4 linked regions of the Caenorhabditis elegans genome follow. The protein of the gene in region 4 interacts with the protein of the main gene of each other region in a pairwise test. Each region holds a gene or a part of one and is shown on either strand. Other genes may lie near its edges.

Region 1 (7,832 bases), on a different chromosome or scaffold from region 4:
GTATTTCTAATGCTACAGTAACTCATTTTTCCGCTGAAATTTCGAATTTTTGACAATATATCGGGTTACTGTAGCGTCAAAAGTACGCAAACGCGCAGACTGAGCCAAATTTTGCGTATTTTTGACGCTACAGTAACCCATTTTTCCTGGAAATTCAATTTTTCGCTCTAAAATCGAATTTCTGAGGTTTTTTTCAGTTGAAAATCTAAATTTTCGGTGGGGGGATATAGCAATTTCCGGGGTCAATTTCGGCCTAAAAAACCAGAAAAATCGCCAATTTTCTCATTTTTCGTGTCGATTTTCTCGCCGAAAACCGTCGTACCCAAATTTATTTGGCACAGAAGAATCGGATTTCCAGGCGCTTGAGCCAATCCACAGAGGTGCATTTGTTGATTGAAAAAGTCGAGCATAGCTTCTTCATTGCATCCGAACGGAATATTTCCAACGTAGAGACGACGTGATTGACAAGTCACTGATGGGCCTAAAAAATGAGAAAAATTTGAAAATTTGGGCAGCGGTTCCCCGGGAAAGTGGTCAAATGCGATCCTGTGAGCAATTTCGGGTGGAAAATTCCAAATTTTTGCAGTTTTTAATGCAAAAATTCGGAATTCTCGACCTAAAATCGCCGATAGAGCACATTTGCCACGGAACAGCGAGAGAATTCAAAAATTCAGTGAAGTTTTTCGAATTTTCTAGATAAAAATTGACACTTTTTGATTTTTCGACAGTTTTTCAGCACTGAAAAATCAAAATCAGGGCAAAAATTTAGTTTTTTTTCGTAACTTTGTCAGATTTTTGCACACTATTTTCCGATTTTTAAATCAAAATTCAACCAAAAACTGGAATAATTTTATTTTTTGACTTTTTTAACGGTAATTTTGAGCTTTTGAAGCAAAAAATCTGGCAAAATTGCACTTTTTACAGAATTTTATTTGGAAAAATCGAAAATTTGGGCAGAGGTTCCCCGGGAAAGTGGTCAAATGTGCTCCTGTGAGCAATTTCGGGTGGAAAATTCCAAAATTTTGTAATTTCTAATGCAAAAGTTTGGAATTTTCACACCAAAATCACCGATAGAGCACATTTGCCACGGAAAATTGAATTTTAATCTGAGAGTTTAGCACATTTTTGCGAGAAAAACTGAAAAAAAAATTTTGCAGTTTTCTGAGTAAAATTGGTTAATTTTTTCAGGATTTTCCTGAATTTTGGGCTCCGAGAGCATTTTTGGATACTAATTCCACATTTTTCAATTTTTCTCGAATTTTCACGTGAAAAACGGCAATTTTCACGAATTTTCCCGAGTTTTTAGTAAAAATATCCAATTTTTATTGAATTTTTCAGAGTTTTCAGTGAAAAAATCCAATTTTTCCGAATTTTCAGTAAAAAATCCAATTTTTCCGATTTTTCAGTGAAAAATTCAAATTTTCCCGAATTTTCACGTGAAAAACGGCAATTTTCACGAATTTTCCCGAGTTTTTAGTAAAAATATCCAATTTTTATTGAATTTTTCAGAGTTTTCAGTGAAAAAATCCAATTTTTCCGAATTTTCAGTAAAAAATCCAATTTTTCCGATTTTTCAGTGAAAAATTCAAATTTTCCCGAATTTTCACGTGAAAAACGGCAATTTTCACGAATTTTCCCGAGTTTTTAGTAAAAATATCCAATTTTTATTGAATTTTCGATGAAAAATTCGAATTTTTCCGAATTTTCGATGAAAAATTCGAATTTTTCCGAATTTTCAGTGAAAAAATCGAATTTTCTCGAATTTTCAGTGAAAACTGCCAATTTTCTCGAATTTTTCCGAATTTTCAGTGAAAACTGCCAATTTTCTCGAATTTTTCCGAATTTTCAGGCAAAAACTGCCAATTTTCTCGAATTTTTCCGAATTTTCAGTGAAAACTGCCAATTTTCTCGAATTTTTCCGAATTTTCAGTGAAAACTGCCAATTTTCTCGAATTTTTCCGAATTTTCAGTGAAAACTGCCAATTTTCTCGAATTTTTCCGAATTTTCAGTGAAAACTGCCAATTTTCTCGAATTTTTCCGAATTTTCAGGCAAAAACCGCCAATTTTCTCGAATTTTTCCGAATTGTCAGGCGAAAAATTCCATTTTTCCGTACCAACAACGGGCACTGCAGACTGTACAGATCCACGTGGAACCTGTCCAGCCGCCTGCATATTCTTGTACTCCATCGGTGTAGTTGTCTCGAATCCAGTCGGCGGAACATCCCAGAATCGGTACTTTTTGGGCTCACGAGGCTTCTGGGGCTCCGGCTCACGGCGCGAACGGGCTTCATCATCACCTCCACGACGTCTCGGCTCATCACGACCACCACCGCCTCGACGACGTTCACGGGATCGAGAACGATCACGATCACCTCCACCTCCACCACCACGACGTTCTCCACGATCACGACTGAAAATGGGGGGTTTTTGGGGTTTTTTGCCGGGAAAAATCGATTTTTTTGCGATTTTTTAGGTTAAAAAATGCGGATTTTCAGTGACTTTCAGCTAAAATCGCAATTTTCCAGTGTAAAAATCGATTTTTTTTGCAATTTTTTGGCTAGAAAAATTGCAATTTTTGGCAGTTTCGCAGGTTTTTGGCGGGAAAAATCGATTTTTTCGCGATTTTTTGGCTAGAAAAATGAGTTTTCATGCAGAAAAATTGCAATTTTTGGCAGTTTCGCAGGTTTTTGGCGGGAAAAATCGATTTTCTCGCGATTTTTTGGCTAGAAAAATGAGTTTTCATGCAGAAAAATTGCAATTTTTGGCAGCTTCGCAGGTTTTTGGCGGGAAAAATCGATTTTTTGCGATTTTTTAGGTTAAAAAATGCGGATTTTCAGTGATTTTCAGCTAAAATCGCAATTTTCCAGGGGAAAAATCGATTTTTGCGCACTTTTTTGGCTAGAAAAATGAGTTTTCATGCAGAAAAATTGCAATTTTTGTCAGATTCGCGCAGGTTTTTGGAAGGAAAAATCGATTTTTTAAGTTAAAAATGTAAATTTTCGCAATTTTCCACTGGAAATTCGATTTTTCGCCAACTTTTGGACAGAAAATTTGACTTTTCCGTGGAAACTCAGCTAAAATTGCGATTTTTTGAAGGTTTTTGGGCGGAAAGATGGATTTTTCGCAAATTTTTGGACAGAAAAACCATTCTTATTGCGTTTTTCAGTACAATTTGAGTAAAAACCGCCACTTTTTATTGTAAAAATTCAAAATTTTTAGGTAAAATTTGACCAAAGAACGCAATTTTCCACTGGAAAATCGATTTTTTGCGGTTTTTTGGACAGAAAATTAGACTTTTCAATGGAAATTCAGCTAAAATTGGGACTTTTTGGAGGTTTTTGGGCGGAAAAATGCGAATTTTTTTGGTGGAATTTAATTAAAAAATCTATTTTTGGCGAGTTTTTGAACAGGAAAATGGATTTTATCGTTACTTTTTAGGTTAAAAAAATGGGAATTTTCGTGGGAAATTTAGCTAAAATTGCGATTTCTCGCTTCCACGACTGAAAATTTCGGGGTTTTCGGCAGGAAAAATCGATATTTTACAACTTTTTAGGTTAAAAAATGGGAATTTTCGGTGGAATTTGACCAAAAAACGCAATTTTCCAACTGAAAATCGAATTTTTGCAAACTTTTGGACAGAAAATTTGACTTTTCCGTGGAAATTCAGCTAAAATTGCAATTTTTTGGAGGTTTTTGGAAGGAAAAATCGATTTTTTGCGATTTTTCAAAGTAAAAAATGCGAATTTTCGGTGGATTTTCAGCTAAAATTGCATCTTTTCCGCTTTTCCTGTGAAAAAATCGATTTTTCATAGATTTTTGGCAAAGAAAATGAAAATTTTGGTGGATTTCTTCAAGCAAAAATCGATTTTTTAAAGAGTTTTTTGGCAGGAAAAATGGGATTTTCGGTAGTGTTTTTCATGGAAAATCATCAAATTTCGCTCTGAAAATCCGATTTTGGGTCAATTTTCTTCAAATTTAGACCATTTTCTAGCGGAAAACTCGATTTTCGCAGAGTTTTCGACGAAAATCCTCGAATTTTTGCTCTAAAAATGTTGATTTTCTGGGTTTGAAGTCATTTTTAAGCCGTTTTTCATGCAAAAAGCGATTTTCAGCGTAATTCTGGCCAAAAAAAAACAAAATTTCCTCCTAAAAATCCGATTTTGGGTCAATTTTCTAGCGGAAAACTCGATTTTCGCCGAGTTTTCCACGAAAATTCTCGAATATTCCGTCAAAAAATGCAATTTTTTCCAGCTTAAGCACCTTCTCGAGCGTCTTCTCGTATCGCGATCTCTACTTCTCGATCGTTTTCTCTTTTTCCGATCATTATCATCCTCTCCACCACCACCACCAGTCGATGATTTCAGATTTTCTTCATTTTCCAGTGGTCCAGTGGTCGGCTGAATCGCTTCGAGACCTCCTTCACGTTGAGCAACGTCCAAAAATTGGCGTTCAATATCTTCAAGTTTCATGCCATCCTGGTGATCACTCATCTGGAAAATTGGGAATTTTCTTTAAAAAATAGAGCTGAAAATCCGGAGAAAATGGATGGAAAAATTTGAAAATTTGGGCAGAGGTTCCCCGGGAAAGTGGTCAAATGTGCTCCTGTGAGCAATTTCGGGTGGAAAATTCCAAAATTTTGTAATTTCTAATGCAAAAGTTTGGAATTTTCACACCAAAATCACCGATAGAGCACATTTGCCACGGAAAATTGAATTTTAATCTGAGAGTTTAGCACATTTTTGCGAGAAAAACTGAAAAAAAAATTTTGCAGTTTTCTGAGTAAAATTGGTTAATTTTTTCAGGATTTTCCTGAATTTTGGGCTCCGAGAGCATTTTTGGATACTAATTCCACATTTTTCAATTTTTCTCGAATTTTCACGTGAAAAACGGCAATTTTCACGAATTTTCCCGAGTTTTTAGTAAAAATATCCAATTTTTATTGAATTTTTCAGAGTTTTCAGTGAAAAATTCCAATTTTTCCGAATTTTCTGAAAAAAAAAACCGAAAATTCGGAGAAATTCACGAAAAAATGGGTTTTTTTAATGGAAAAATAGCTGAAAATTCGGTGGAAATCGCGAAAAAATGAGTTTCTCTGAAAAAAAAAATAGCCGAAAATCAGGGGAAAACCGCGGAAAAATGGAGACAATTGGGCGAAAATGAGGAAATTTGGCGATTTTTTGGAAAAATCGTTGAAAATTCGGTGGAAATCGCGAAAAAATGGAGGTTTTTCTGAAAAAATAGCTGAAAAACCCGACAAAATGGCGAAAATATGGAAAAAAATAGGGTGAAAGTGAGAAAATTTGGAGTTTTTCTGGAAAAAATTGCTCAAAATCGCGAAAAAATGGAGAAAATTGGACGAAAATGAGGAAATTTGGTGATTTTTTAAAAAATTGCTTAAAATTCGGTGAAAATGCTGGAAAAATAGCTCCAAAACGATAAATTGTGAGAAAATAAACGGTATTTGAGTGAATTTGCCGAAAAAATAGGAGTTTTTCTGGAAAAAATAGCTGAAAATCCCGAGAAAATGGCGAAAATATGGAATAAAAAGGTTGGAAATGAAGAAATTTGGGGTTTTTTGGCGAAAAATTGTTTAAAATTCGGGAAAAACCGCGAAAAAATGGAGAAAATAGGTTGGAAATGAGGAAATTTGGTGATTTTTTTACGAAAAAAAAAGAAAATTCGGTGAAAATGCTGGAAAAAAGAGCTCCTCGCTAAAATAGGCGAAATTTGAGTGAATTTGCCGGAAAAAACTGAGATTTTTCTGATAAAATAGCTGAAAATTCGGTGAAAATCGATAAAAAATAGCTTAAATGATGAAAAATCGCTGAAAAATGAGATTTTGCTGAAAAATAGGTAGAATCTATAAAATTTCGGGGAAAATGATGGAAATAATAGAAAAATGGGTAAAAGCACACACAAAATTAGGCTGAAAATCAATAAAATTAGGTGAAAAATGACAAAAATCTCCCAAAAAAATCGATAAAAAAATAGCTGAAAATCTGCAAAAAATCGATGAAGATATGCTGAAAATCGCTGAAAACGAGAGAAAAAATAACACAAAAATCCAATAAATTACAGGAAAAATGTTGCAATTTTATAGCAAAAAAACGGGGCTTAAAGGCACTGAAAATGTGTGAAATTTGACAAGAATTATGTGAAATTGGGGGATTTTCGGGTGGTTTTTTGTACAATTTAGCGGGGAAAATGGACGAATTTTACATGAAAAATGGGGGAATTTTGGGGGAAAATCGACCTAATTTAGGTAAAAATCGATAAATTTTGCATGGAAAACGGGGATTTTTCGCGGAAAAATCGATGAATTTTGCACATTAAAAACAGCAATTTTGGGGAAAAATTGACAATTTTAAGACAAAATTGGCATTTTTACATGGAAAAGAACTTTTTTTTTAGGTGAAAATCGATGAATTGTGCATGAAAAACCAGCGATTTTAGGTCAAAATTGACATTTTACATGAAAAAAGGGCCTAATTTAGGTAAAAATCGATAAATTTTGCGTGGAAAATAGCTATTTTAAGTGAAAATCGATGAATTTTACACGGAAAAACGACAATTTTGGGGGAAAATTGGCGATTTTAGGCCAAAATTTGCATTTTTGCTCGGAAAAATGGCTAATTTAGGTGAAAATCGATAAATGTTACATGAAAATTGGAAATTTTGAGCCGAAATTGGTAATTTTACATGGAAAACAGCGATTTTGGGGGAAAATTGTCGTTTTTACATGGAAAAAATGGCATTTTTACATGAAAAAGTGTGGCAATTTTAAGCCAAAATTGGTATTTTTGTATGGAAAATAGCTTTTTTAGATGAAAATCGATAAATTTTGCACGAAAAACGGCGATTTTTGAGAAAAATTGACATTTTTACATGAAAAAGTGGCAATTTTAAGCCAAAATCGACATTTCCTCATGGAAAATAGCTATTTTAGGTGAAAATCGATAAATTTTGAATGAAAAACGGGGATTTCAGGTGAAAATTGGCAATTTCAAGTCAAAATTGACATTTTTACAGGGAAAAATAGCTATTTTAGGTGAAAATCGATAAATTTTGCATCGAAAACAGCGATTTTGATGGGAAATTGGCGATTTTAAGCCAAAATCGGCGATTTTCCATGAAAAACGGCCATTATGGGGGAAAATTTGCGATTTTAAGCCAAAATCGGCGATTTTACATGAAAAAATGGTTATTTTAGGTCAAAATTTGGCAATTTACATGAAAAAAAACGGGCTATTTTAGGTGAAAATTGATGAATTTTGCATCGAAAACAGCGATTTTGCTGGGAAATTGGCGATTTTAGGGGAAAATTTGCATTTTTACATGGAAAAAGGCCTAATTTAGGTTAAAATCGATAAACTTTGCATGAAAAACCAGCGATTTTAAGCCAAAGTTGGACATTTTTATATGGAAAAAACGGCGATTTTGAGGGAAAATTGGCGATTTTAAACCGAAATTCACGTTTTTACATGGAAAAAACAGGATTTTAGGTCAAATTTTGACAATTTACATGAAAAAAACAGGATTTTAGGTGAAAATTGATGAATTTTACAGTAAAAATATCGATTTTATGTCAAAATGAACGAATTTTCCGCGAGAATTTCCTAGCATCCACACATTCCGCCGCCACCACTGGAGCCCGTCGGTTGTCCCAACCGAAAAGACGGGCGGTCATTGTCCCATAAGTCGGGCGTTTGAATGATTTTCTCGATAAGCTCCTCAAATGTGCACTGTACACCCTCCTTAGTCTTCGCAGAAGCTTCAATGAATAGTGTGCGGTGGCGTTTTGCGAATTTTAGGCCTTCCTCGCGGGTTACCA
Region 2 (6,439 bases), on a different chromosome or scaffold from region 4:
TCGTGAGACAACTTCATCAGGAATCTGACCAACTTCATTTTTCTACCTGAAATACATACAATTATAGAAGAATAAAAGGAAACGATGGAATTCAATAGAAAATACGACGATAAAAATAACTTTTAACTGATAAGAAAGAGGTTATGACAAATAAAAACATCTGCATCAAGGAAAAATGTTTCAAAACAGATTTCCAGTGACTGGAATCCAGTCATTTTGAGCACATTCGAAAATGCAAAAGACTTGGCGGCATGCCAAGTGGTCTCGCAACGACTAGGAGTACGGTCGCACTCGTTTTCATGTGTGCGCTTTTGATAGAATTTCTTTTTCTTGACTTAGGACTTTCTCTTCTTAAAATTGAGATTGATTTCTCGAATTCATGTGTTTTTTTTACTGGGCTTAATGAACGGCGTTTAATAAATTAATTTTTGAATATAAAGTGATTTTCCAGAAATGCCGCGCCTCTATCTAGGAAAAATTCCATACAATGCACGCGAACGCGACGTTGAGCGATTCTTAAAAGGATATGGCAAAATTAATAACATCTCAATGAAGTATGGATTTGCCTTTGTCGATTTTGAAGATTCTCGTGATGCTGAAGACGCATGCCATGATTTGGATGGAAAAACCATGGAAGGAAGGTAATAAAATAATAAACCAAAATTAAAAATGTTCTAACTTTTTATTTTCAGCTCTATGCGCCTTGTCGTGGAAATGGCTCGCGGAAAACCACGCGGCAATGACCGTCATGGATCGAGATCACCACGACGACGTTCCCGCTCTCCTAGACGTCGTTCACGTACTCCACCAAGAAGACGTTCCCGCTCTCGTGATCGCAAACGTTCTCGCAGATCCCGTTCCAGAAGCTCCTCCAGATCCAGATCACCAGTTCGTGAAAGTCGTCGCAGAAGCGAATCCCGTTCGCCGAGCCCGAAAAGAGACTTGTAAGTTAACTTTAATGTGTGGATTGTTTTGGAAGGGTGCCACATCACGAACCGTTTTAGCCACAGTTCAATGAGAAATCAATATCACCTACAAGCCCACATCGCAATGGCATACACATAGCTGAGACAGTTCGAGCACAGTATGGGTCAACTATCAATACATTTCAATTCACTTCTCGTTCAGTCCCCACAGTTACCAAAAGCCGCTGTTTCGATTAAAAGAGTGAGATCCCTAACTTTGAATCAGACAACTTCGCGCAAACATATCGGTTTCGTATTCGAGTCCTTTAGATTCCGACTCTATTAAATGCAAGAATTATATTTTAGGAAGCGTGAAGCGTCGAGATCTCGTTCACCACTGCCAGCAAAAGATCGAAGCAGAACCCGAAGTGGATCTCCCCCAAAGGTAATTCATTTATGTGCTTGTATAGTAAAAATCATATGGTTTCAGAACGGCGGAGATAGAAAGCGCAGCGTGAGCCGTGGAAGAAGTCACAGCCGAGATGGCAGCAATCGCAGTGTGTCTCGCTCTCCGTCTCCAGGATCTCCAAAGGATTAAAATTGTGTTTTTATACCGTTTACTGTTGTTCATTTACCACTTCTATTTTATAATATTTGTTCATCCTCAGAGCTGTTCTGATTTTAATAATTCCCGAATAAAACCGAGCGGAGACTTCCTTCATTTTTTAAAAATATTTAAAGGCACATGGTATTATTCACACAGGTCTCACCACGATTACTTCAACTACTGTACAATATTGGGGAATTTGAAGGTCGAACGCAATTTTGGGCTAATTTACTGCTTTGTTATTTTTACTGTTCTGGAAATTGCCGTTGTACTTTTTATAGTCATTATTATTAGAAAAAACCTTTTACGAGATTTTCGAGCTAATTTTTATACTCATATATTGAAATAGAACGCAAATTTTCGAGTTTTCTAAACAAAAAGCTTATCGTTTTCTATTCTCTAAATTGAAAAGAGTTGCAAACTAGGACAAAAACCGAAAAAAAGGCGAATTTTGAAAGCCTGCGAGTGATGTTTCCTTGAAAAATCTCGTCGAACATTTGTCGGTGTGTGTGTATTTGCCCCTTTTCGTTAGTTTTGTACAGTTAATGTTTACTAAATCTCGCGTTTTGATAATTACTGTTTAGATTAATTCACACCGCACGAAGCATGAATTTGGCACAGTGCCAAGAAAGCAGTCGACGAGAGGCTCTTGCGCAGCCGACGTTTGGGGCGGGGCCGTTTCGTTGTCGTCCTCTCGTTCTCTTGCCGGCGACGAGGCAATTCGAAACTCGCGGCCATCGCATTGAGGCTCTCCTCCCCTCCTCATTCTTCGTTTCGTCCGCTGTTGAGGAGTGTGAGTAGGACACCGCTTCCTTCGACCAGCCGGCCGCCTCTAGCTGTCCAGTGAGCGTTGCGTGAGTGTCAGGCACAGACTAGGCCGACGGTGGACGGGCGCGCAGCGCCGGGCCCTGTGAGGCGCGAGAGCCAAATAATAAGATGTCTCTTTCCGCGATAGAGTTGTTCGCGCTCTTCCTAGGAAAAAGTTTTCTAGAACATCGTTTGTGTTTTTGAAACGACAACACATCTAAATTAAAAAAAAATTTTTTCCTCAGTAGCAGATTTTTAATACAATAACTCGATATTTTTTTCTCAAAACTCAATGATATTTTCAAATGTTTCTTCTATTTCTCATTCAGATTTATTCACCAGCACTACATTAACATTTGTTTTACAGAAAAATGTCCGACGTTGCCGAGACTGTTGTCGCTCAAGAGCCAGAGGTTGTCGAACCAGTCGAGGAGAAGCCAACCGAGACTGGATCGGACGATGTCGTTGTGATTGATGAGAAGACCAGTGAGCAGTGAGTTTTTGTTTCATAATTTGCGATTTACCTGTGCATTTTTCTAAAACTGTAGTATATAGGTCAATTCTATGGAAATCGCGAGCCACTTTTTTGTATCCATCTGCGCGCGGGCGTTGAGTGGTGTTTTCCTTCGAGGTCACTCGTAAGACGTGAATAATGTGGGACGGTCATAATGGTAGAAACTGTTCTGTGAAAAACTGAGGGGTCATTCATATTTCTTTCTATGCCCTTTTATTTGTTCATAGTATGTGTATTGGTGCAGTGTGCAGAAGGCATGGTGCCATAAAGAAGACAGGCGGCAATGGTGAAAACAAATACGGCGTAGGGTAGTGAGCAGGCAACAGATTGCACTAATCCGTTTCTCTACAATTTATACTATTTTTGTAGGAACGGTGAAAAGACAGAGGAGACTCAAGCTGAGGCCACCGAGGAGAAGAATGAGACTGAGGCTGAAGAGGCCGATAAGGATAAGGCAGTCGAGAACGGAGAAGCAAAGGACACCAACGGCAACGTAAGATAGTTATATATTATTTTTGTTGACCAATTTTTATTTTTGCAGGATCGTAAGCGTGTGTCCAGCGCCCACGAAGAGGCTCCAGTCGCCGACGCAGAGGAGGATGCTCCATTGACCAAGAAAAGCAAGGTTGAGGATGAGGTGAGAACGAAGGGCAGGAATCTAATTAGGCATTCTAAAAAGATATAGGATAGGCGTATGCGACTTAGCACTAATTATGGGATATATCGGGGCGTAATGTGTGCGATGTACACGAGCAGTTCTGATGAATTCTTTATGAATCGCTTCATCTTCCGTTAGGGACTAATATTCAATGTCATTGTCAATAATTCGATTTCCCTTGCAGGTTGACGTCGCAGCCTCTGGAGATGCCCCAGCTGTCGCCGCCGAATAGGTTGCTTCCCAACAACAAATGCCACTTCATCCTTCCTCAAATTCCCCGTTTCAAAATCAACATCTTTATCATCAATCTGTACATGTTGACCAAATCCATTAAAAATGTACTTGTCCGATGTTTCGACAATTCTATTTTGTCTCTAAGCTGATCCCATCTTGATTTTTCTTAATATTGGATAATTCCCTCATCAAAAAAAGAATCTCATCATCTCCCTGGTGTTGGGGTTTTCCTATCGTTCCGTTTAAGTTAATTCGGATTCCCCTCTCCAGGTATTTGTTAGTTTTAACATTGTTTTATCCAACCTCTCACTGCAATAAAGTTAAAGTGGCAGAATCGTTGCATAAGCATTAAAGAAACAAGTGTTTTGAAATTGAAAATCTAGAAGCAATAAGCACGAAATAAATTATCAAAAGTTAAGATATTAGGCAGAGGTAAGCTTGCTTTCTCCAGCTTCATCTACGATGACCTGGAACTTTGGTGGTGGTGTGAGGCGCTCCAGCTTCTCCTCGACTCCATTGTCAACTTCTTGAATTAGCACTGAAGAAAAATATATTTTGGGGATATTTAAATTACTAATGGTTTAATTGAACTCACTTTCTTTTGGGAAGAAAACGGAAAACGAGACAAGTAGAATGAGGATAAGAAGAGAAACCGAAATGGTAGCAGCAAAGTTCAAGAACAGGATTCCGCAAGTTGTAATTTGTGCGGGGCTTGGAATTTGGACAGTAAGAGATCCAGTGAAAGCATGTAAAATGCTAAGCCAGAAGTCATTGATCACCTTAAAAACAATAAGATTCAAAGAGACTCAGATATGATGAAGATACCTGATAATAGAGACAAAGGCCAATGAGGATTGCCCAGAGAATAAAGAGACCAAAGGCCGCAAGAATGAGCAGGAAACGACGCGAACGAGTTAGTGATGGCCACTGAAACCTTATTCTTTTTAAAATTAAAAATGTAATCATCTTTATAAAATTATTAATGAAAACGTATTATCTATACGACTTTTTGTGGAAAAATACTGTGCCTGGTCTCGACATGACAAATATTTGGTAAATGCGAAAAGGCGTGCGCCTTTAAAGAGTACTGTAGTTGCAAACTCTTGTTGCTGTGGAATTATATCGTAGATTTTTCCTAGTCTTTCTCACGATGTGTTAAAATTTATATGTTAATGTTCCAATAGATTTTTTTCATCAATGCAATTTTTTATTAACCTTAAAGGCGCGCACCTGTTCGCATTCTACAAAAAATCGTCGTTTCGAGACCGGGTACCGTGTGATTTCACATGTACAGTTGGGATCTATGAAATTCTAACAATCTCGAACAATAAAAAATTTTCAGAAGTCTTCCTGGTTTCAAAAACATTCCGAACAAATAAAGTAAGTCATGGTCCTGTTTAATAAATACTTATGTATGCCTAAGCTTTTTCGTGATGTCATTGAAATATTATTTCACAACAAAAATATAACCTTCTTCCACTAACCTTTAAAACTGGAGATACCAATCGACAGACGATGAGTATCAGAGTACTGTAGAACAATGGAATACCAATTAGACAATAGAATACAGCAAATATCTAGAAACAAAAACACAAATTGAATTGAGGTAGAATATATTGCAGGAAATTACCTGGGAACCAACAGTAGCTGGAACTTTGAATCCACCACCGATCGTCAAAAGAAGAGAATACGCAAAATTAAAACTGCTAATCCAAGACCATTCACGACGAGAAGGAGGAACAATTGTTAATTTGTCTTCGTATCGTTTCAGAGATTCCACAAGTAGTTGCTGAAAATTTTTGGGTTTGAGGTAGGACTTGATGGTTTCCTCAAAGGAAAATAGGCGCCTGGCAAGAGTATTCCTGATTACAACGGAATTTTATATTTATGTTAATAGTTGTATAGTTCCATTTATTCTATTATCTGTTTCATTTTCATAATGAAAATCATTTGGGAATGCTCCAAACTTTTGATCTTACTATTAGTACATTTTTCATGTAAACCTTTCTCATCTTTTTCATTTTCTTTATCATTTCTCTCTCTCTCTCTCTCTCTCTCTCTCTCTCTCTCTCTCTCTCTCTTTTCTCTTTCTTTTAGTTTTGGTTTCCATTAGCAACCATATAATCTCTTCTGAATACATCTCAAGTTTCTGTCTCTATGTCCCTACTTATTTTTCCTCCTCCTCCTCTCACTGATATTATTCAAAACGAAAAAGGGAATCGAAGAAGGAAAAGATGGGGTCACAACGATATGAGGAAGATGGGCGACAATATTGACCATCCCTTGGGGAAATCTGACCAAAAATAAGAGCAATATATAGTAAGTTCTTTCAAGTGGAAGAGTCAAAAAGTGACGAATCTAATCACTGCTCCAGATGAAGTGATGGCTTTGGATGTTTTGAGAAACCACATATTTGTATCACATATTTGTATGATTTAACTATCAATTAAGCGTTAGAAGAACGTGCTCTCCAGGAGCTGGTTCGAATCTTAGAAATTTGGCAATTAAACTGCTGCCAGGGTTTAAACTGCTAGAATGGTCAAATATACAAACACTTGAATTGCAATTCAAGTCTTCAATTACTAACAGTACAAAATTGTACCATTAGAGAACACCTGTCAAAATTCAAAATTGGAACAGCTTCAGAGCAAAAATATATAGAAAAACAAATAGTTACAAAACTTTTCGTAGTCGCTCGAAAAATCAGTATGTCT
Region 3 (7,231 bases), 2.5 Mb from region 4:
CCTTAAAGTTGTTGAACAGTTTATCCTCTCTTTTCAGGTAAAAAATCACCTCACTAGAACCTAGTTTTTGAAAAATGTAATCTCCCCAACTGCTAATTCAACTTCACTGGTTAATGCTCCCATATAGTCGATATAAAATTCCTCATTCTCCTCTTTTCTCTGTTTTCTCTATCGAATAGTTTCAACTATAAAGAGAGAAGAGAGTAACGCTCATTATTCAGCGAATAGAGCGCCGTCTCGGCTGGCAAGAGCTGCCTGCCAATTGGCATCTCCAATAAGTCCGAGTGTGTGTGTCCATTCCACGGCTACATACGCATCCAATTCTAAACATCAGCTGATCGTCTCCCCCGCTGCGTCTCTTCATTGCGCGTGCTCTTTATGAACTTTTCCGCCTGCGTGCGACTGGTCATGTGCACTTTTTGCATGCGGTCTCACATGATTTACCACGTATTCCTGGCTGCTGCCTGTCTTGACGTGCTTGTTGGTGAACCACCACCCTTTTACCACTTCTTCCACCCCTTCTCTTTTATCCACCCATCGATTCGTGTTCTCCGTATCTCGTTCTCTATTCACGGCGTTCCCCTCCTCGGCCTCCTTTTGGTAAATACGTGGTGGTCATATGACTAACAGCCGGGAAAAGAGAAAGAGCCCCCCCTGTGACTTTTCTGTTTTCCTATGCCTGATTCTCGCAAAAAAATTTCTTGTGTATCTTGAGAAGAATAATTAAGAAGTGAAGCCAGTTTTTTTTGGTTTGGCCATTCTAACTTTCTTGTCGATTTCGAATATTTTTTCAGCTTTTTCAAAAAAAAACCCACCTCAGTCTCAAAATTTTCGCAATAAGAAGTACTATTTGAAAAACTAATAAAGGTGGTATGCATTATCGTTTGTTTTTTGTCTATCCGCAAAAGCTCAATTCCAATCCTCAGAACAAAGTTTGTTTATCATTCATAAAACAAACATCAATCAAACACCTCCTTATCTATTTTTCTACCCATAGAACCATTTTTATGTCAAACTGTCTGCATCTTCTGTACCACGCATAATCTTATTTCAGTTCAATCAATCTACACCTGTGTTTCTTGAAAAACATGTTGGTCTACGTGCAACAAGTACGATCCACATGTGAACATCATATGATTGCATCACATTCGCCTGTTCAACCCTGTTATATTGGCGGATAGAGTAGATAGTAGATAATTGCGACCCAAATCTTCTTTAGTAATTTGCTATTCGTTTTATTTGTCTTAATTGTTGTGACCGGTGTCACTTGCAAGTTCGACTTTCGAAAAGTGGTGAGGTGTATCATGTGAACTTTTTGATTTTTCATGATGGGTGCCCGCCTGTCAACTCGGTTTTCGATTCAATCACATTTCCGTGCAAAATTCTGGCCAACATGACATTTAAGAAGTTCACAATCTGATCAGATTCTTATTTAATTAGTAAGACAAGTTTGTGGAAAGAAGTTTCTTAAGTTATTTCATATTAGTTTGTATGCATCAGTTTTGTTCTTCTACCTAGTTTTTCAATAATTATTTTCTCATCTACATTTTCCATTTCTTTTTTAGAAACAATATCTGGTTTGTTGGCAATACGGTCACATGTACTTCGGAAAAGCGAAAATGCGAGCGAAAAGTGAGACAGAGAGCGTCTGTGTTTGTTGGTGTATCACGCGACATAATAATATGCCTGGCTGGGTGCCAATTCTACCATTTTCCTCGAATTTCTGATTTCCTGAAATTCGCCGCAAGTTTATTGGCTTTTACTAGGATTGAGAACCTTCATTTCCCCCTTTTTTCAGTTGGTTCAAACTTTTCAGAATCTGATTTCGGAATAGTACATATTTTCCACGACTCTTTTATCTCAAAAATCAGCCACCTGACATCAATAACGTTGATTTTTTTCTTAAATATATTTCATAAATTTGCCCTGTTTCTTTTACTCTTCTCATTTCTCCACAGTAATGTTATTTTAATTGCCTTTCTTAATTTCAAATTTTTATGTCGCATCACGTGTTGCGAAAAACACCCGTCTCAAAACCACAGTTGATCACGCTGAAAGCAAGTTTGTGAGTAAAAGTAGTGAAAATGAGTAAAAAACACGCGTGAGCAGGCATCTCGTTTTCTGACTATCTAATTAGCTACACTCTTTTCCATTTAGTTCTAAAATTAGAAGAGAGAACCAATTTTTGTGAATTTCTTGAGAAAAAAAGATGGGTTGCAATATTTTTTAAAAAACATTCTCATAAATTCTTTAAAGAGAGCTATGAACCTATGCTTTATTTGAAAAATACTCAAGGGTTATCAAATAATAAAAGCCGAATACGACAAATGTTTATTAGTTCCAATCCATCAAATAAACCTTTTCCTATTTGGCAGTTGAATATATATTTGCTCACAAATATAATACATTTCTGGCTTTTGCTCTTTTTAATTCACAACTATTCTGTTCTCATATTAAATCGATTCAATCCGGTCATCTCATCTTTCTTGTCGTCCACCCACCACGAAAAACAAAACAATCGCGTCTCAAACATTCGCAGTACACCACACAGAGCGTCTCAGATAGCACAAATGTAAATAAGCAAATAAATAAATAACTGACTGGCTGACGGAATGAGGTTTCAAAATAAAGTAAAATTTAACGACTTTGTGAAAAGCAAAATATTTTCATTCGTCTCTCCAGTTTTTTTTCCGGGTATTTGCTCTGTAGAAAAGGTATTATGAAATTTTTTGTCTAACGGACCTCCTTCACTTTTGCCCCCAATTCTGTTTTATTGGAGAAAACGTTTATAAATAAACTACGCCATCTGCTTGTGTAGACTCTGAATTTGTTTGTTGATTTTGTAGAGTAGATATGAAGGACCTAGCAACACCTGCATCGTTGGGTTGCTATAACAACTCGTATTTATTGTTAACCCGTAACTACTTCGCTATTTCTTAATTTACAATTTTACAAGTTTCGATTTCTTCTCATATTTGTAAACACAATTGGTAATAATAGTATAATAGTAATGTTTCAGAGACGGGTCTTTCCTAACAATGTCCTCATTTCTTGAGTTTGCAAAACCCAAAATGCTCGATATCAAAAGAAAGATCAACTTTGCGTCCGGCGAGAAGACGGATGAGTCTGTGCAACCGCAACAGCAGACGGAGCAGTCATCGGCTCAACAGACAACACCATCCGCAAAAGCCGTCTCAAACCCATTTATCACCCCATTGACCGAGAGTACACCTGGTTTGTTTTACTTTTTTTTCATTACACTTTTGCCCTAGGCAAATCGTTAGATGAATTCTCATGTGACCGATTGGGCTTTTGATTTTTTGAAAGTACACACATCTTTGCAAGTTTACAAATTTAACACCTATTCACTTTTCACTAACTCCAACTTAAATTTCCCATGTTCTTGAACGCTTCAGGTATGTCAGAATCGTGGGTGGAACTGGCACCAAGCCGTACCAGTTTGTGCAGTAGCGTCGATATTAATATGGTGATCATTGATGAAAAAGATAAGGATTCGAGGCTGAGCCCAGTCTCAATCGCACAATCTCCTCACGTGGAATTCGAGAGCTTAGAACAAGTAAAGTACAAGTTGGTTAGAGAAATGCTTCCTCCCGGAAAGAATACTGATTGGATTTGGGATTGGAGCAGTCGGCCAGAAAATACACCTCCAAAGTAAGTTTTATAGCTACTAATGGGTTGAAAGAAGCTTAGTTATTTAGACTTCAAAATTAATTTAGAACCAGGGATGCGCTGCATTTGCTAACCAGCAGTTCTACAAAATAAGCCAGCATGGCATGTTCTCAAAATAATTCTAAAAAACGCAGATACATTGTTGAAAGATTAAAACTGCTAGAGAAAAGTTACATAGTTTGTCGGACTATTTTCAGTAATTTTCAACTTTCAATCTAAACTAAAATATGTTTGCTAATTGAAAATTTTCTAAAAGAGATTTTTTGAAAATACTTTTATATTCCATACCTAAATGTTACTGAAAATATTGGAAGAACATGTTGCAAGGTTCAATTTGTAGAATTGCTAGTCGACACCCCTGCTCAAACCATACCGATTTTATTCTGTGTTGAAAAAAAAAACAAAATTTGCAGGACTGTCCGTATGGTTCAATATGGCTCCAACCTTACCACTCCGCCAAACTCTCCCGAGCCAGAGCTCTACCAATACTTGCCATGCGAATCTGATTCGCTTTTCAACGTTCGCGTAGTCTTTGGTTTCTTAGTCACCAACATCTTCAGCTTTGTCGTTGGAGCAGCAGTAGGGTAAGTATTTTTTTCAGGAAATTTCTTCCAGAAAAACTGATTGTCTTCAGATTTGCTGTTTGCCGGAAACTAATCAAACATCATCGTCAATAATTCCAAACAAAAATTTTAACGTTCCACTTACCTCATTTCACTGTACATACATTCCAGCAGTGCTGGAGATTGGGCATTTTTACCCTTTGATTCACAATACTACATTCTCTGCAAAATTCTTCCGGAGTCTTCTTGCATCTTGTCAAAAAGATTCGAATAAACAATAATTTTGCCATGTTTCCCTTCTCTCCAAATTGTCATCTTTCAAACTGTCTCCTGAATATTCCTAATACTCAAAACATTCCTACTACAGTTTTGAATTCAACACATCTAATCGCGATTTGCTCTCACGATTAGGTAATTTTAAATTAATTATGTACATAATATAGCTTTATACACTGAATGTAATTACGACTTTTTCTTTGCTGTTACCTGGGCATTTTGATTCTGAAACTTGCTTTTCCATGTTTTTCTGTCATCACAAATTGTAAATATTTCTAAAATACTGTTACAAAACCACGCATTTTAATAAAATGTAAATATATTTTTGTTTAGTTATGATTAAATTTATTATGCTGGAATTTTTAAAAACTGATAAGTAGACAATTGCACAGATGTTATTAATTGCACAATTCAAGAAATGTCTACAACGAATCATTCTAAATACCAATTTGCACGGAAATAAATTAAGCTGAAATCTATGTTTAGTTAACTAAAAGCTCATAAATCGCTTATAATCCTTTGTTGAAGTACACTCGATCTCCCTTGATATTTTTCAGTTTTTCAAAGGCTTCGGGCTCCCATCTTTTCAATGTTGAAAGCTTCACAGAGTTTTGCTGAGGGAAGAGAGCGCATCCGACAGGAATCATTGCACCATAACTAAAATTCACATTTGTTGTCTAGAAATATGACTGCTCTCTCACATCACAAAAGTTAAAGCCAATTGAGTTGGAATGTTGAGTTTGTTGATATGCTTCCGGAATGAGGCCACTTTGTTCAAGCCTTCCATGATGACAGGAGTGAGGACTAAAATGAGGCATGAAGCATGACAGGAAAAGAGTAACGGCTAAACTCACTCATGCATGGGGCAACGATAATATTTCTGGAGAGAACCACCAGGGAGATGGCTTTAGCTGCGGCTAACCGGGAAACTCCAACGTTGTTTCCATCGGCATCAGTGACAGTCATACCTTCTTTGAGTTCACTTTAAAAAAATGATTTAAAGAACTTTTTGAAGAGTCAACATTTCCACTATTTAAATTCAACTCATAAAATTATACCCATATGCCAACAATAACGTGAAAAACCTCAATTTATAGGTCAACACATTTCCGAATTTTTTTTACGGTTTCTAGTTGAATACAAAAGTAGATGGTCTTCAGTTTACAAAATAAAAATACCATAATGGTTCAGCTGCAACATCATAGACAGCCTTATTTTAGAAAATCCAGTTTTTCATTGACCTCTCTTCATTATTAATAACTTATTGCATATAAGAAAAAAGTCAAAAGCGGAATGATTTTAGGAGTTTTACGTTTTGATTTTAATTTTGAATGGGTTTCAAAATAAATCACTGATAAGAAAGCAAACTTTAAATTTCTGTACTCCTAAATTTCAAAGCTTTCAGATTCAGGGCTACAAAGTTAACCTCGGATTAAAAACATTTAAAAACTTGGTTGAAACTAAAAAATACTGATTATTCTCTAATAAGTACTCACTTCTGACGCATCATAGGGATGTTAATAGCATTAGCCACTGCAACGGCTCCCAGTGGTACTAATCGTTGAGCCAAAGGACTGCTCTGTTTCTTAGCAAAATATGTTTTCAGCCCAATTGCCATTGCCAGTGCTCCAGACACTGCTGTAGAATACGATACAACTAAGTCTTTTGTTGTCAATGTGCTCTTTGCATTTCGATTGGTATAATTGACCAGTGCATTAAATGACTGATTTGCCCATTGCCAGAAAATTACAGCTGGCGTCGATTTGTACCTGGAACAGTAATTGGTTTACTTACTTTTATACTTTTACTTACTTTTACCTTTTAGCTTACTTTTAGCAATACTTTTTCACTTACCAGATCATCATTGCACCACACAGCATTGTACCACCCCAGACGTTGAAGCACATCCTTCCAGCAAAGTTCTGAAGTTCTCCAGTATCCGGATGAAAAGCTGATTGACACAGACGTTGCGAACGATGAAGTTCCTCAAGTGTTGCCGGCACTGGCTTCTTCTCTCTGTAAACGTTTTTTTTATTTTTGAAAAAATTTCTTCAAAGATATTACAAAACTGTATTTAACACAAATTTTGTGAAATTTTTAATGTTGCTTGAATTACTTCAAACTCAGACCCTTAAAGCTCTTATATCCGTTATTTCACTCTAAATACTTAAGAAAAAATACAGCTATTGTAATATGTAATTTAACTTTTTCTGATAATAAATGTTTTGGTTAAATCAAAAATTCAATTTGTTTTACGTGTACAGCCTAATATTAAAAAAATTATACCTGCATTTTTGCATTAACTCCGATGCAGTAATGAGTTCTGTTGTTGAAGAAAATGCAATCAGTGGATCTGTCATTCCAGCGAAATGCCGCAGTCGGCCGTAAAATGTTGATTGATCATATCGTGGCTGATCTGGGTCAAAAGCCATGCCTGGCTGAACAAAAAAACGTTTTTTTAGAAAGATAATCAATGGGAAAAAACCAATATACTAAATTTAAAGAAGGACGAAAACATAAACGAGTGAGACTGGCAGTTGCAAAGGTGCAGACAAAATACGAAAAGGGAGCAGGGATAGTGAGCACACGTGTTTAAACGAGACTTGACTTGGCTTTTGCGTGGCATAGAAACGTTTGGCTCATCTCGAGTGCCCTTGAAACATGATTGCTTTTTGCGTTTCGTTTGAGGTTTTCAAAAGTAT
Region 4 (10,785 bases):
CAAAAACCACATTTACCGACCGAGATGGCTCTTGAGCCGTAGTTGGGCCGTTTCCGGTCCGTAGACGGTCCGTCGCCGGCCCGTAGACGGACCGTAAATGAACCGTCCCGGGCAACAAATTTTTGTTTTTGAAAATTTCAGGTTCTAGCACGAAAAAAGTGCTCAAATTAGCCAAAGGAGAGTGTAGGCACTTCAAAAACTCCATTTTCATGAACAAATTTTTTCGTATTATCCTCCGTTTTGGTGATCATCCGTAGTTTGGCCGTAGCCGGTCCGTAGATGGTCCGTAAATTAACCGTCCCGGTCGGCAAAACTGCACTTTTTAAAACTAAACCTTGAATCAGGCAAAAAATTAGCCAACTGGCTACAATGAACCAAATAGCATTGTTGGTACTTCAAAAACTCAATTTTCATGAAAAATTCCTCTGGGCAACCATTTTGTCTATCATCCGTCAAACTGGTCCGTACGCGGCCCGTAATCGCATGCGATCTAACTGAGGCTATTAAGCATGACATTGTGTGCAAAAGAGGTTATATTAATAAAATCCTATAAGCATATCAATGAAAAAGATGAAATGCCACAATTGGGTAGATACTGTGTATACGCAACGTTCACTCTCTCTGCTGGTCTTCTTCAGCTGAGCAACAGGAGCATTTTTTGAAATATCATAAAATATTTTACTAACAATACATTCTGGAATCATATCGTTTCTGTTCCGTGTGTATTTTAAGAAATTAAGGTATCATTCAAGTAGAACGCATATACCTTATTTCCTCTATTAGTATTGCAACCCGGTCCAATCGAAAATTAGTCTTGCATGCAAGACTAATAGAGGAAATACGTTTTATCAATTCCTTTTTTATTGGAGAAGAATCAAAACTTTTTGCTAGCAATTTGTAGATAACAAGGTTAAGGTTATTACTTCAGCTTTTTTTTAAATGTGAACAATTAGAGGCATGCAGTAGGATCATTGTAGATTACCAGTTTCTTATTGTCGAGATTTAAAAAATCTGATAGCCATTCCATCTTTGCTTCCATTAATTGAAACGTCATAGACTGAACTTAGTATTGTTTTTTTTTCACTTGAACTAATCGAAACGTTAGGATTTTAATTGTTTATTTAAATTTTGAGACAATTATTCAAAGGAAAAATAAATCAGAACTAGAACAAAGAAAATTATGATTAGGCAATTGGACGGAGGAATTTGAAAAATGATTAGGATAATATTCAAATAATACGAGTATGAGCACTTTTGATTTGGAGAAGGGTGACGGAAATGTACATGAAATGCCTAAAAAGCGATTTAATCACATTGTGAGCAAATTTTTGTTGTTTTATCTTTATTCATAAACATTTTGAAACGGGGAAAATGAAGAGGAAAGTGTAGATTTTAACATATTAGGTTATTTGAAATCCTGGATGGATGCTTGAAATACAGTTGCGGAAGAGGGAATAGTATCGAGATGGTTTCATGGTTAGAAAATGACTTTGAAATTGGCTAAAAGCGGGGAAACGGGAGAGAATGATGGTTCTCATGACGACAACAATCACACGACCATAACAATTATTATTAATTTTTTTTGATAAATGATTATTTTACAAATACATATTTTAAAAAATGGAAAACGATTGATTCGAGACCAGTTTACCAATTTGTCAACCCTGGCTTATTTAAGGTCATGAAGTAGATCTGGCAAGACCCTCCACCCTTCGCAGACGAGAAGAATACCTGAAGAAAATTAGAAATTATGATGAAGATACGAAACTTTTTGTGTACACTTATGGGTACTTATGTAATGCGTATTATATTTCCTCACAAAAAAACCACATTTTTAATAATAAATCCATTAAGATTAATTTTGATATGCACTATCATTATGAGGCACATAAATGGAGTTTTCAAAAAAATCATACGAACGGAATAATTTCAACAATCTTCGTAAAGACAAAATATTAAAAAAGCTTACTTTATCATTTCTCTCACACAAGAATTTCAGCTTCTGAGCTTTCTTGTGCATAAACACTCCATCCAAATGGCCAGTGTCAACGGATCGAATCTCAATCGCCTTGTTGCCCCATCCCATAATCTGACCCGTTGAAATGTACGCCACACTGCTTGGCATTTCTCCCCATTGCAGGACTACATTCTTTGTCATCCTTCCGTACGTGTTAACATATACTCCCTCATCTGAAATAAGAATAGATAAAGAAGTGAATACTATTTTTGAAAACTCACTGTCATAACAGAGAAGGAGTTGCATTCCATTGGAGTTTGGAAGAACAACTATGCAATGTGGAGTCGTAGTTTGACCGCTCTAAACAATTAAAAATAAAAGGCTAACATTTAAATGATTCATCTTTGTTTTCAATTCTTATTCTGAAGTTATCATACCTGTGCTGGCGTATAAATATCATAGACCGCTGCAGAATCCAAATCAATTGCATGGAATCCACCTGTCGATCCATAAAGAACCTTGAGTCTTGCATTGTCTTCAACTGTCAAGTCGACAATCAAAGGAACATGACTCAAAGATCCGAATGACTTGAAACTCATGAACTTATGGTATGGCTTCGGTGCCCACGCATAAATCTCAATTGACGACTCTAGACCAACTACCAAGAACTTTATCCTTTCATAGCGAACAATTTTGAAATGAATGGCTCCTTGCAAATCTCCAACATTAACCCATCCATTTCTTTTTTCAGTCGTATTGGCGCTTCCAGCACCCTATAAGACATAAAATTAGATATATCCAAAATGTTTATAAACCATACCTCTGTTCTTAAAATTTTCTGACGGAGCCAGCTCAAATAATACACTCTGATTCTCCTTTTTCTTCCGGAAATTGTTGCGAGAATATTTTGTCCCTCGAGAACCGTCATCTGATCAAACCTTCTCCGACTGATGAGCGGGTAAACTTTTCCTTGTCCACTTCGATCCAAAAGCATAAGTCCACTGTCTGTTCCAATAAGCAAGTTAACTCCCCAGAGAGCTGCACACAAAATCTCTCCACTGAACTTTTTCTTGTACTTCCTGATTTCTGGAGCATCGTTCTCAGCTGGTGTTCCATTAGAATTTGGTGTCACATTAACTTGAACTTGGTTAATGTCTTGCGGTCTCCCTGGTCGATTTACTGTGCCACCACCGGCTCCGGCGCCACCACCAAAATATCCAACAAATGACTTTTCGCGATCACGATTCGAAAATGAATGCTGAATTGATGAACGGCTGTCAGAGTTTTGGAATCCATTTGGTTGCTGAAATCAAATCATGTTTTATTATTTATTAAAATTTATCTTCTGACAAAATATAATCACTTCAACAAAAATTTGTATTTTGATTTTTGATCATCAAAAATATATCCAAAGACATTGAAACAATAAAAAAAGAACCGCAACAAAGAAGAACTACATATCTTTCGAAAATTAAAATAACTGAATAACCAGCATCAAAAACAATAAAACACAGGATGATTTGTTTTCTGAAAAGATGACCAACAGTTTAACCAAAGGGGGAATAAATCGGAAAATCACAACAAATTCTGTCATTTCAAATCGAGTAACTTACATAAAAACTTCCAAATAGAGAGGCGCTCTACATAATTATAAAATTACATGTTTTATCGTTCAAATTTATGGTTTCCACTACATATATTATTCTCAAATCAAAACACTCACCTCATCTGCACGATCGTCACTCATCTGGCGTGTTTGGTCATTTATTTGACGGCGGAGTTGTGGCGATTTGGGCAAGAGATCTGGCAGGGCGCCGCGCGAGCTTGAGGCGTTCTGGAACCAAATAAGATGTTTCACGAGTGGTATAGAGCCGTCAACACTATGTATAACATTGGCCGAGAGAAACCAAAAAAAAATAGAGAAGGGACAACGTACAATTGGTTTGAACATAAGGGGCTCGTTGCCTTCCTCGTTGTCCGAGTCGCTGTCGTCGTCGTCAAGAGAGATAATTCCAGGGCGAATCTAGAAAATATTCTGTTTTTTAAATACGTTTTAAATTGAGTTGTGAAAGCTTATCTCAAATTTTCCCGGCGTCGTGGCAGTTCCTTTTATTTTAAAAGCACCTTTATGTTATTGCCAGTTATAATTTTTTGAAAATAGCTGCTACAGAAACAGTAGTGTTTTTATTTTTTTAATTGGCTTTTTCATATTTATTTAATTTTTAAAGTGAGCATCTTATTGATATTATCGATTTTTGAAATGCACCAATTTAGATAATTGAAAAAAAATAAAGAAACGAGTATATATTTTCGCTCATCTCACACTACCAACCTCTGGAATTTTCTTTCCCTTGTAAGCCCCATGGCCACTATTTCCATTTCCATTGCGACGCACATCTGACACAAGTGTATTCTCGCCATCTGTCGGTGTTGGCGGAAGCGGCTTATTCGGGCCGCGCAGTGTGCCTTCTCCGTTCATCATAATGTCCTTCAAATCGTCCCACTCCGCATCTGCTCCATTATCCAATTCACCCACGTCAATCGTGTCTGTGATAGACGAGATCGATGCCTCACGCGGTGGTGGCGCCGGTGGCGGTGGGCTCATGCTCTCCTCGCGACTGCGTCCATTGTGATGACCGCCCATTTTAGAAAGCTCACTGGCGAGCACGTCAAGATCTTCTGGTTTTACATGAGTGATCAGAAGGGGTTCTGACATTTTTCGAGACTGTTGTGGAGCAGGTACACTTGCAGAAACACGTGCAATCGGCATAGCGTGGTGAGCCTGACGTTCTCTTTCCCGTCGCTCTTCTCGTTCCGATCGTCTTCTTTTTTCATAGTTTGCTAAATCCGCCAAGTGTGGGGCTGCAGGATGGGATTGTTGTGGAGATCGCTGAAAATTTATTTACGTTATTTAAAACTTTTAAAACTACACTACAAACACTTTTAAGCCAGGTAAACAAACATTTTTTCTGTATAGCCTCCATTATTTTTATTATTAAAAAAAACCTCAACTGGTTATTTGAATCGTTCATACCCTACATGCTTCAACTTTGTTAATGTTTGTTATTATTAGTATATTATTAGTACTGAATGACTGTTTAGACAATATTAAAAGGAAGGTAAGAAAACAAAACCTGATGATGACTCACGGGCCGTGGCCTTGATGCTGGCGAATGACGTGGACCATCGGCAGCTCCTCTAGATGAAACAGCCCTCAGTTTGACTTCGGATGATTCTCGTCTTGGCTCAACGTATCTGAAGGTTTCAAATTTACAATGAAACTATTAAGAGAACAACGTCAAATCTGAACTGTGAAAAGTATTGAGTGAAAGTGGTGACATACCGAGACTGCTGATATTGGAATGGAGCTGGTGCTGGTTGCTGGGGCAGTCTCCTCAGCTGCTGAGCACCTGGTTCTGCAAAACCACGACTACTCTCTTGCAATTTTTGAAAGCCTTTACGCAATGTGTTATCCATTGGAATCATTGAACTGCTCTCCGAGTCATCTCGAATGCCCATTGAAGGACCACGATTGTTCGGAGATGGTTCATCATCTTCACTGCCGGAATACTCGTAGTCTGCATCATCCTTCTTCACCCGCCGATTTCGGTCAATATGCTCTTTGATTGAATGCCGGATCGTTTGCTCATGTGGTTGTTCTTTGATAAATGGATGACGAAGTAGGGCTCCAGTGTAGGGCCTTTGATGGTAATCCTTCACAAGTACAGTCTCTGAAATTTAAAACTTGACCTGCATCATTTAGACTTGAAAATATTGTTTGGAATGTACTCTATTTGCCCGTGCGTGCTTCCTTAAAATTTCAGCAAAAACCCATTTGCAAAACTGTTTCAAAAATACGAATAGCGACACATTTTTACAATTTATTGTTTCATATAATCGGACTGAAAAATTATCTGCAAAAAAACTCACCAATAAAAGTCTCGAACTTCTTGGTCCACTTCTTATTTCTTTTCAACTTTGGCGGCGGATTTCTTGGAATTAAAAATAACGCTCTCATCGGATGCATATCGCACAACGGTGGATGACCTTCCGCCATTTCTAATGCCGTGATTCCTAAATTGGATAACAATAAGATTTTGAAACTCCATGAGTCATTTTCCATTTATACAAAACCCCTGTTTGGTTTTTTTTTGCTTTTTTAATGCTGTTGTACTACGAATTTTGTGCCCATTTACACATAAATGCAAATAATGAAAGAAAGCAGACACAAACACAACGAAAATGTCCGGAGGGAGATATGTTGAGGGAATTGAAGGAGACGGAGCAAATATTGGAATAGTGAGAAAAAACATCAAAATAGTATGTTCAAGAACAGACTATAGCTCTACTAGAACACTTTTGGAAATTAAATGACGTTGAATATGTATATTAAAAGTTTCAAATTAGAAAAGAACTTAGTTTTCAGTGTTCATTTAGCTAAAGTTTTCCAAAAAATTAGTTTCTCGAAATAGTAAGCTGATAGCCATATTTTTTTGTTGTCAGCTTTCTAGAGAAGGAAATCAGCGTTAGTTTTCTGCAATTTACCTCAATTTGATTATTATTGTAAGTAGAATTAAATTAATAAAATTGAGAAATATATTTTGGGTGCGTTGCTAAATTCAGTGTTTAAATCAGTGAAATGCTGATACCAAGCCTTATAAAAACTTTTTATATTACACATCGTCATTACTTACCCAAAGACCATAAATCCGAACGTGAATCATAAGTAGCTTCAGGGCTTTCATCACATGCAATAACTTCGGGAGCCATCCAGTATGGTGTTCCAATAAATGTGTTTCTTCTTCCAACTGTCTTGTCAAGTTGTGCAGATACTCCGAAATCTACCAGCTTCACCTCAGCACTGTCCGTAAGAAGCACATTTTGACCTTTTATGTCACGATGGATAACTTTGCTTTGATGCAAGTGGTAAAGTCCCTATAAGAAATACATTTGAAAATGTCTGAGAATCGGTAAAGACAAACCCTCAAAATTTCTCTACAAATATATGCAATCCATTCTTCTTTCAAAGAGCCTCCCTTTGTGTTTTTTACAAGATCGGTGATAGAACCACTTCCACAAAACTCCATTACCAGCCATAATTGATCGTGTTTTCCGGTCGAAGAGGGCAGCTTTTTGATGAAAGCACCATAATAAGTGGCTACGTTCCGGTGGTGGGAGTGCTGCAAATCAATTTGATTCTTCCGTGTAAGACCTCATCGATGTGTTCTCCTTTTTTTGAAATTTCTTTTTCACACTATTTCAAAACTGTCTTCAAAATAGCTTTCGTTTTTAAGTTTTCATCAATTCATACAAATATAATTTATAAATGTATTTATCAGAAATTAGATATTTCTTTTTTTCTTTTTAACTGATTTAAAATTCTGGACAACTTAATAATTCGAAAATAGGTTTAATTCCATTTCTCATATTTGGGGAATTTTGAAAGGAATATTTTTGTTTAACCAAAACACATACCTTCTTTAGCATATTAATTTCTAACTTAATTTCATCTTCTTCATCTTCGTTGATATTCATAATTTTGATTGCAGCAAGTTGCGCTGTTTTAACGTGTCGACCCTTATACACTTGCCCGTAAGTTCCATTTCCAACAACCTCAATTAGCTCGAAGATTCCAGCCGGGTCCTGAAAAAAATCATTGTGATTTCCGTGTTGTTTGGTGTAGTTTCGCATTTTCTTTCCCCTACTCAGCTGTAAATATTTCTGAGAAGAGAGCAACATGATTTTTTAAAATTGTTACACCACACACACACACTCGAAGAAAGAAAGTGGGACTTCGTCTGTGTGTGTGTGAATGTTGCGAAATACACTTTTTCTTAGTTTTGAGACAAAAATTTAAAGCTGACAAAAATTGATTGTTTCATTCAACTTCAAAAGGTAGTTTTCTATAGAAACACCATTAATTTCACGGGCGATAACCCAGACTGAATAGAAAAATTAACATTTTTCAGTAAATTCATTGTGCGCATTCTACTTGATGTATGGGTGGTCACGAATACTCACCCTTAGAGAATTCAAATCAATCTCGTCGAGTCCTGATGACGACATGGTTTTGGGTGCTGTGAGCGGCTTGGAGCAAGCCGACACTTAAACCACACAATGACTCCTTGAATTTAACTTGAATCTGAAAAAAAAAACACTTATTGTAAATTACAAGAAACAGGAAGTATAACAAAACAGAAAAAAATTTTCAGATTATATCAAAAGTAACAAAAACAGAAATATATTGTTTTCATCTAAAGACTCAAAATAAAATATTGTTTCCAAGATTATTACGAAGCAACCATTCTGTTTCAGAAAAAAAAACACATGTTGTGATAAAGAAAATTAGATCGATAAGGAATGCATCATCAAAGACGTCGGAGAAAGACCAGTGGACGGCACAAGGAGGACGGACGCGTCCAGCATTGTTACACAGCCGGGAAATAGAGGAAAAAAATGAGAATGCACAAATTGTTTAAATGTGTTCAAAAAGTAGAAAAGTCTTAAGTGTTTTTTCTGCAAAAACAATATATTTTTCTTATAATGTTGGAAAGAATTATCAATTTTTAAGTTTCAGACAACCGTTGAATAGGATAACTCATATTCTGTTGCTGCAAAAAAAATTTCCTAAAAATGCTCGCAATTTTAAATTTTTCTGATAGCAATCAAGACGTGCAAATTTGAATTGACAAGCGGTCAAAAGACATCATCGGGTCAAGCAGACAAGGTTGTGAAAGAGAGTGAGGGATGATCGAAGGCCGCAAGAAATTCGCCTTGATTCCGAAAAGAAGGCCTCCGACGTCCGCCTTTCTCTCTCTCTCCATTTCATTCCCCCGCTCGTTTTCCCGAATAATGATGAAGGACGGACGAAGAATGAAGAAGACGCTGGTGGAGAAGAATGGAAACAGCGCCTGTCCATTCCCAAAGAAGACACACAAAAAGGCAACAGCAGCATCACATATAGCTGCCGACTGAGTGAGAATAGCGGGATGCCTCTGTTTGGTGATCTACATTTATTATATTGATTTGAGATGAAATGATGCTTATCTTCTAAATAGATATTAATGATGGTGAATAAATGAAGGGGGATCGAGTAAGGGGTAGATGTATCAATTTAACGAATATTCTCTCCAATGGCCGATTAACAATGATTTAGCGATGGTATTTGTCTCTACGACCACTAGATCCTAGTGACGCTCATGGCTAAAAAAAACAAGGTTATGGCACATTGAGGTATATTTCCTATTTAGACGTTGCAAAAAGAAGGAGAGGTTTTAAATTACAAACAAAAACTATTCTTGTGGAAACGTTTTATTTAGCCTACATAGTATCCATTTCGGGAACAATTTTTTCAGAAGAAAAAAAGGATTGTATCAAAAAACCATAAAATATTAATATATTGCCTGATTTTTTTAATTTACAACATGAATCTATTGCCAAAATTATTATTTATTGAAAATTTTGAATTGCTCACAACATGTTCTGATGTAGAATTCATATTTTGAAATATATGTTAATTTCAAAACACGTGTTTTCATTTAAAAGTTTTCCATGTCCTGCACCGAATGCTTTGCTTTGACAGCTTATAAGCTATATCTTTTTCTGAATATCTTTGTAGCTTATTAATTTAGAAATGGTAATTTACTATGCCTAAAAATGAAAAAAAAAACTCCACACGTTTTTATTTAATAATCAATTTCAAAAAATTAAGGGGAAATAATACACAAGTACCATTAATTTTTATAGCTTATGATACTGAATTAAAATATGAAGTAGCAAAATAATTACATGGTGTGTAAAAATGATCAAGAAAATACGACAAGTTTTGATTCGCATTTCGAAGTTCCCGCAACTTTTTTTATTTTCGACAAAAAACAACAATGTGAATATTGCCATTTTTGAATTAAAGAATTTTCAGAGACATTCTTCAAATGAAAAACAATGAATGCGAATTTTTTACAGTTACGTTTTAAAATAGACAATAATATAAAATTATTTTAGTATAACATTGAACTAAAAATACAATTTTACTAAAAAATCCGGTCTGAATCACTCTTATAAAAAAAAAGAAAACGTGAGTCGGTACATAACAATAGATCGGAAATCCCCTTTTCCCTTGTCCTCCTATTCTCATGAGCTTGACCTCATGTTGTTCTAGAAGTGTACTACAGCCGCTCTCAAAAAGTAGCCCAGAGGAAGGAGTCAAAATTATTCTTGCTCTTTTTTCCTTTTTACTTTGCCATTCTTGCTTAAGGAAGAGAACGAAAAGTGGAAAAGAGCTCAGAATACATTTTCTGATGAATCGGAGAAAAGGGAAAAGTCATAGATAGAGGAAGTTGAAAAGCTGTAGGACAAAAAATATGGAAGAATAGGGAGAAAAAAGTCGACGAGGAAGATAAGAAACAGAATGAAAAACGACCAGTGGCGCCAGAGTGTGTATGTATGTGTAGTGAAACAGCAATTAGTCAGCGTTCCCAAAGGTCTAGTGATGACACCCAGTGGCGATGCATTGGTTCTAAAACCTCTCCGATCCGCCTTATCTTGTTCTTTCATTTGACACGAAAAATAGGAGAAAAGAGCGAATTGAAAATAAAGAATAAAAGACTGGTCTACTTTTTATCAACACAACTTGATAACCATGACCTCCAACAACGCGCGTCTTGGAACAGAGATGGACTGGGGGTACACATGGTGATAGTGCCGATTTTATCACCGCATTAGTAGGGAATCAGATAAAACACTTCGAAAAAGAACAGAGCGGAGGATGGATGGTTTTCTGAATATTTTTCACCTTACAAAACGATAGTGAATCACAAAATGCAAATCAG

The links.
Region 1: the proteins of mig-15 (region 4) and uaf-1 interact in a two-hybrid assay, tested with the Caenorhabditis elegans proteins (one large-scale study listed by BioGRID).
Region 2: the proteins of mig-15 (region 4) and T28D9.1 interact in a two-hybrid assay, tested with the Caenorhabditis elegans proteins (one large-scale study listed by BioGRID).
Region 3: the proteins of mig-15 (region 4) and dct-1 interact in a two-hybrid assay, tested with the Caenorhabditis elegans proteins (one large-scale study listed by BioGRID).

What each region holds. Positions count from the first base shown.
Region 1 is NC_003281.10:1,072,065-1,079,896, forward strand, and holds the start of uaf-1 (Splicing factor U2AF 65 kDa subunit), read right to left. Parts: upstream 4,492-7,832; coding exon 4,262-4,491; intron 2,412-4,261; coding exon 2,116-2,411; intron 482-2,115; coding exon 323-481; intron 1-322. Other genes in the region: Ras-related protein Rab-18, read right to left, coding at 7,618-7,832. UniProt on the Caenorhabditis elegans protein: Necessary for the splicing of pre-mRNA. Binds to the polypyrimidine tract of introns early during spliceosome assembly.
Region 2 is NC_003280.10:6,489,716-6,496,154, forward strand, and holds T28D9.1 (uncharacterized protein), read left to right. Parts: upstream 1-2,686; 5' UTR 2,687-2,690; coding exon 2,691-2,812; intron 2,813-3,069; exon of another isoform or gene 3,070-3,202; coding exon 3,203-3,326; exon of another isoform or gene 3,327-3,374; coding exon 3,375-3,470; exon of another isoform or gene 3,471-3,675; coding exon 3,676-3,723; 3' UTR 3,724-4,063; downstream 4,064-6,439. Other genes in the region: snr-3 (putative small nuclear ribonucleoprotein Sm D1), read right to left, coding at 1-38; rsp-5 (putative splicing factor, arginine/serine-rich 5), read left to right, coding at 454-641, 693-944, 1,272-1,350, 1,396-1,503; T28D9.11 (uncharacterized protein), read right to left, coding at 2,093-2,278; twk-49 (Potassium channel domain-containing protein), read right to left, coding at 4,148-4,263, 4,321-4,504, 4,551-4,652, 5,210-5,302, 5,356-5,514.
Region 3 is NC_003284.9:7,951,337-7,958,567, forward strand, and holds dct-1 (NIP3 homolog), read left to right. Parts: upstream 1-3,019; 5' UTR 3,020-3,038; coding exon 3,039-3,234; intron 3,235-3,416; coding exon 3,417-3,672; intron 3,673-4,103; coding exon 4,104-4,274; intron 4,275-4,324; coding exon 4,325-4,367; 3' UTR 4,368-4,850; downstream 4,851-7,231. Other genes in the region: sfxn-2 (Sidoreflexin), read right to left, coding at 5,039-5,186, 5,231-5,333, 5,384-5,511, 6,026-6,298, 6,384-6,545, 6,816-6,961. UniProt on the Caenorhabditis elegans protein: Initiates apoptosis in a BH3-independent mechanism possibly by recruiting ced-3 to mitochondria and other cytoplasmic membranes. Has a role in lifespan and tumor growth. Required for the induction of mitophagy under stress conditions.
Region 4 is NC_003284.9:10,420,552-10,431,336, forward strand, and holds mig-15 (Serine/threonine-protein kinase mig-15), read right to left. Parts: upstream 8,024-10,785; coding exon 7,979-8,023; intron 7,601-7,978; coding exon 7,433-7,600; intron 7,138-7,432; coding exon 6,940-7,137; intron 6,893-6,939; coding exon 6,652-6,892; intron 6,032-6,651; coding exon 5,888-6,031; intron 5,689-5,887; coding exon 5,301-5,688; intron 5,213-5,300; coding exon 5,092-5,212; intron 4,848-5,091; coding exon 4,290-4,847; intron 3,981-4,289; coding exon 3,894-3,980; intron 3,792-3,893; coding exon 3,681-3,791; intron 3,598-3,680; coding exon 3,571-3,597; intron 3,261-3,570; coding exon 2,778-3,260; intron 2,731-2,777; coding exon 2,395-2,730; intron 2,318-2,394; coding exon 2,239-2,317; intron 2,191-2,238; coding exon 1,970-2,190; intron 1,732-1,969; coding exon 1,648-1,731; 3' UTR 1,104-1,647; downstream 1-1,103. UniProt on the Caenorhabditis elegans protein: Involved in cell migration and signal transduction. Important in several developmental processes including epidermal development, Q neuroblast migrations and muscle arm targeting.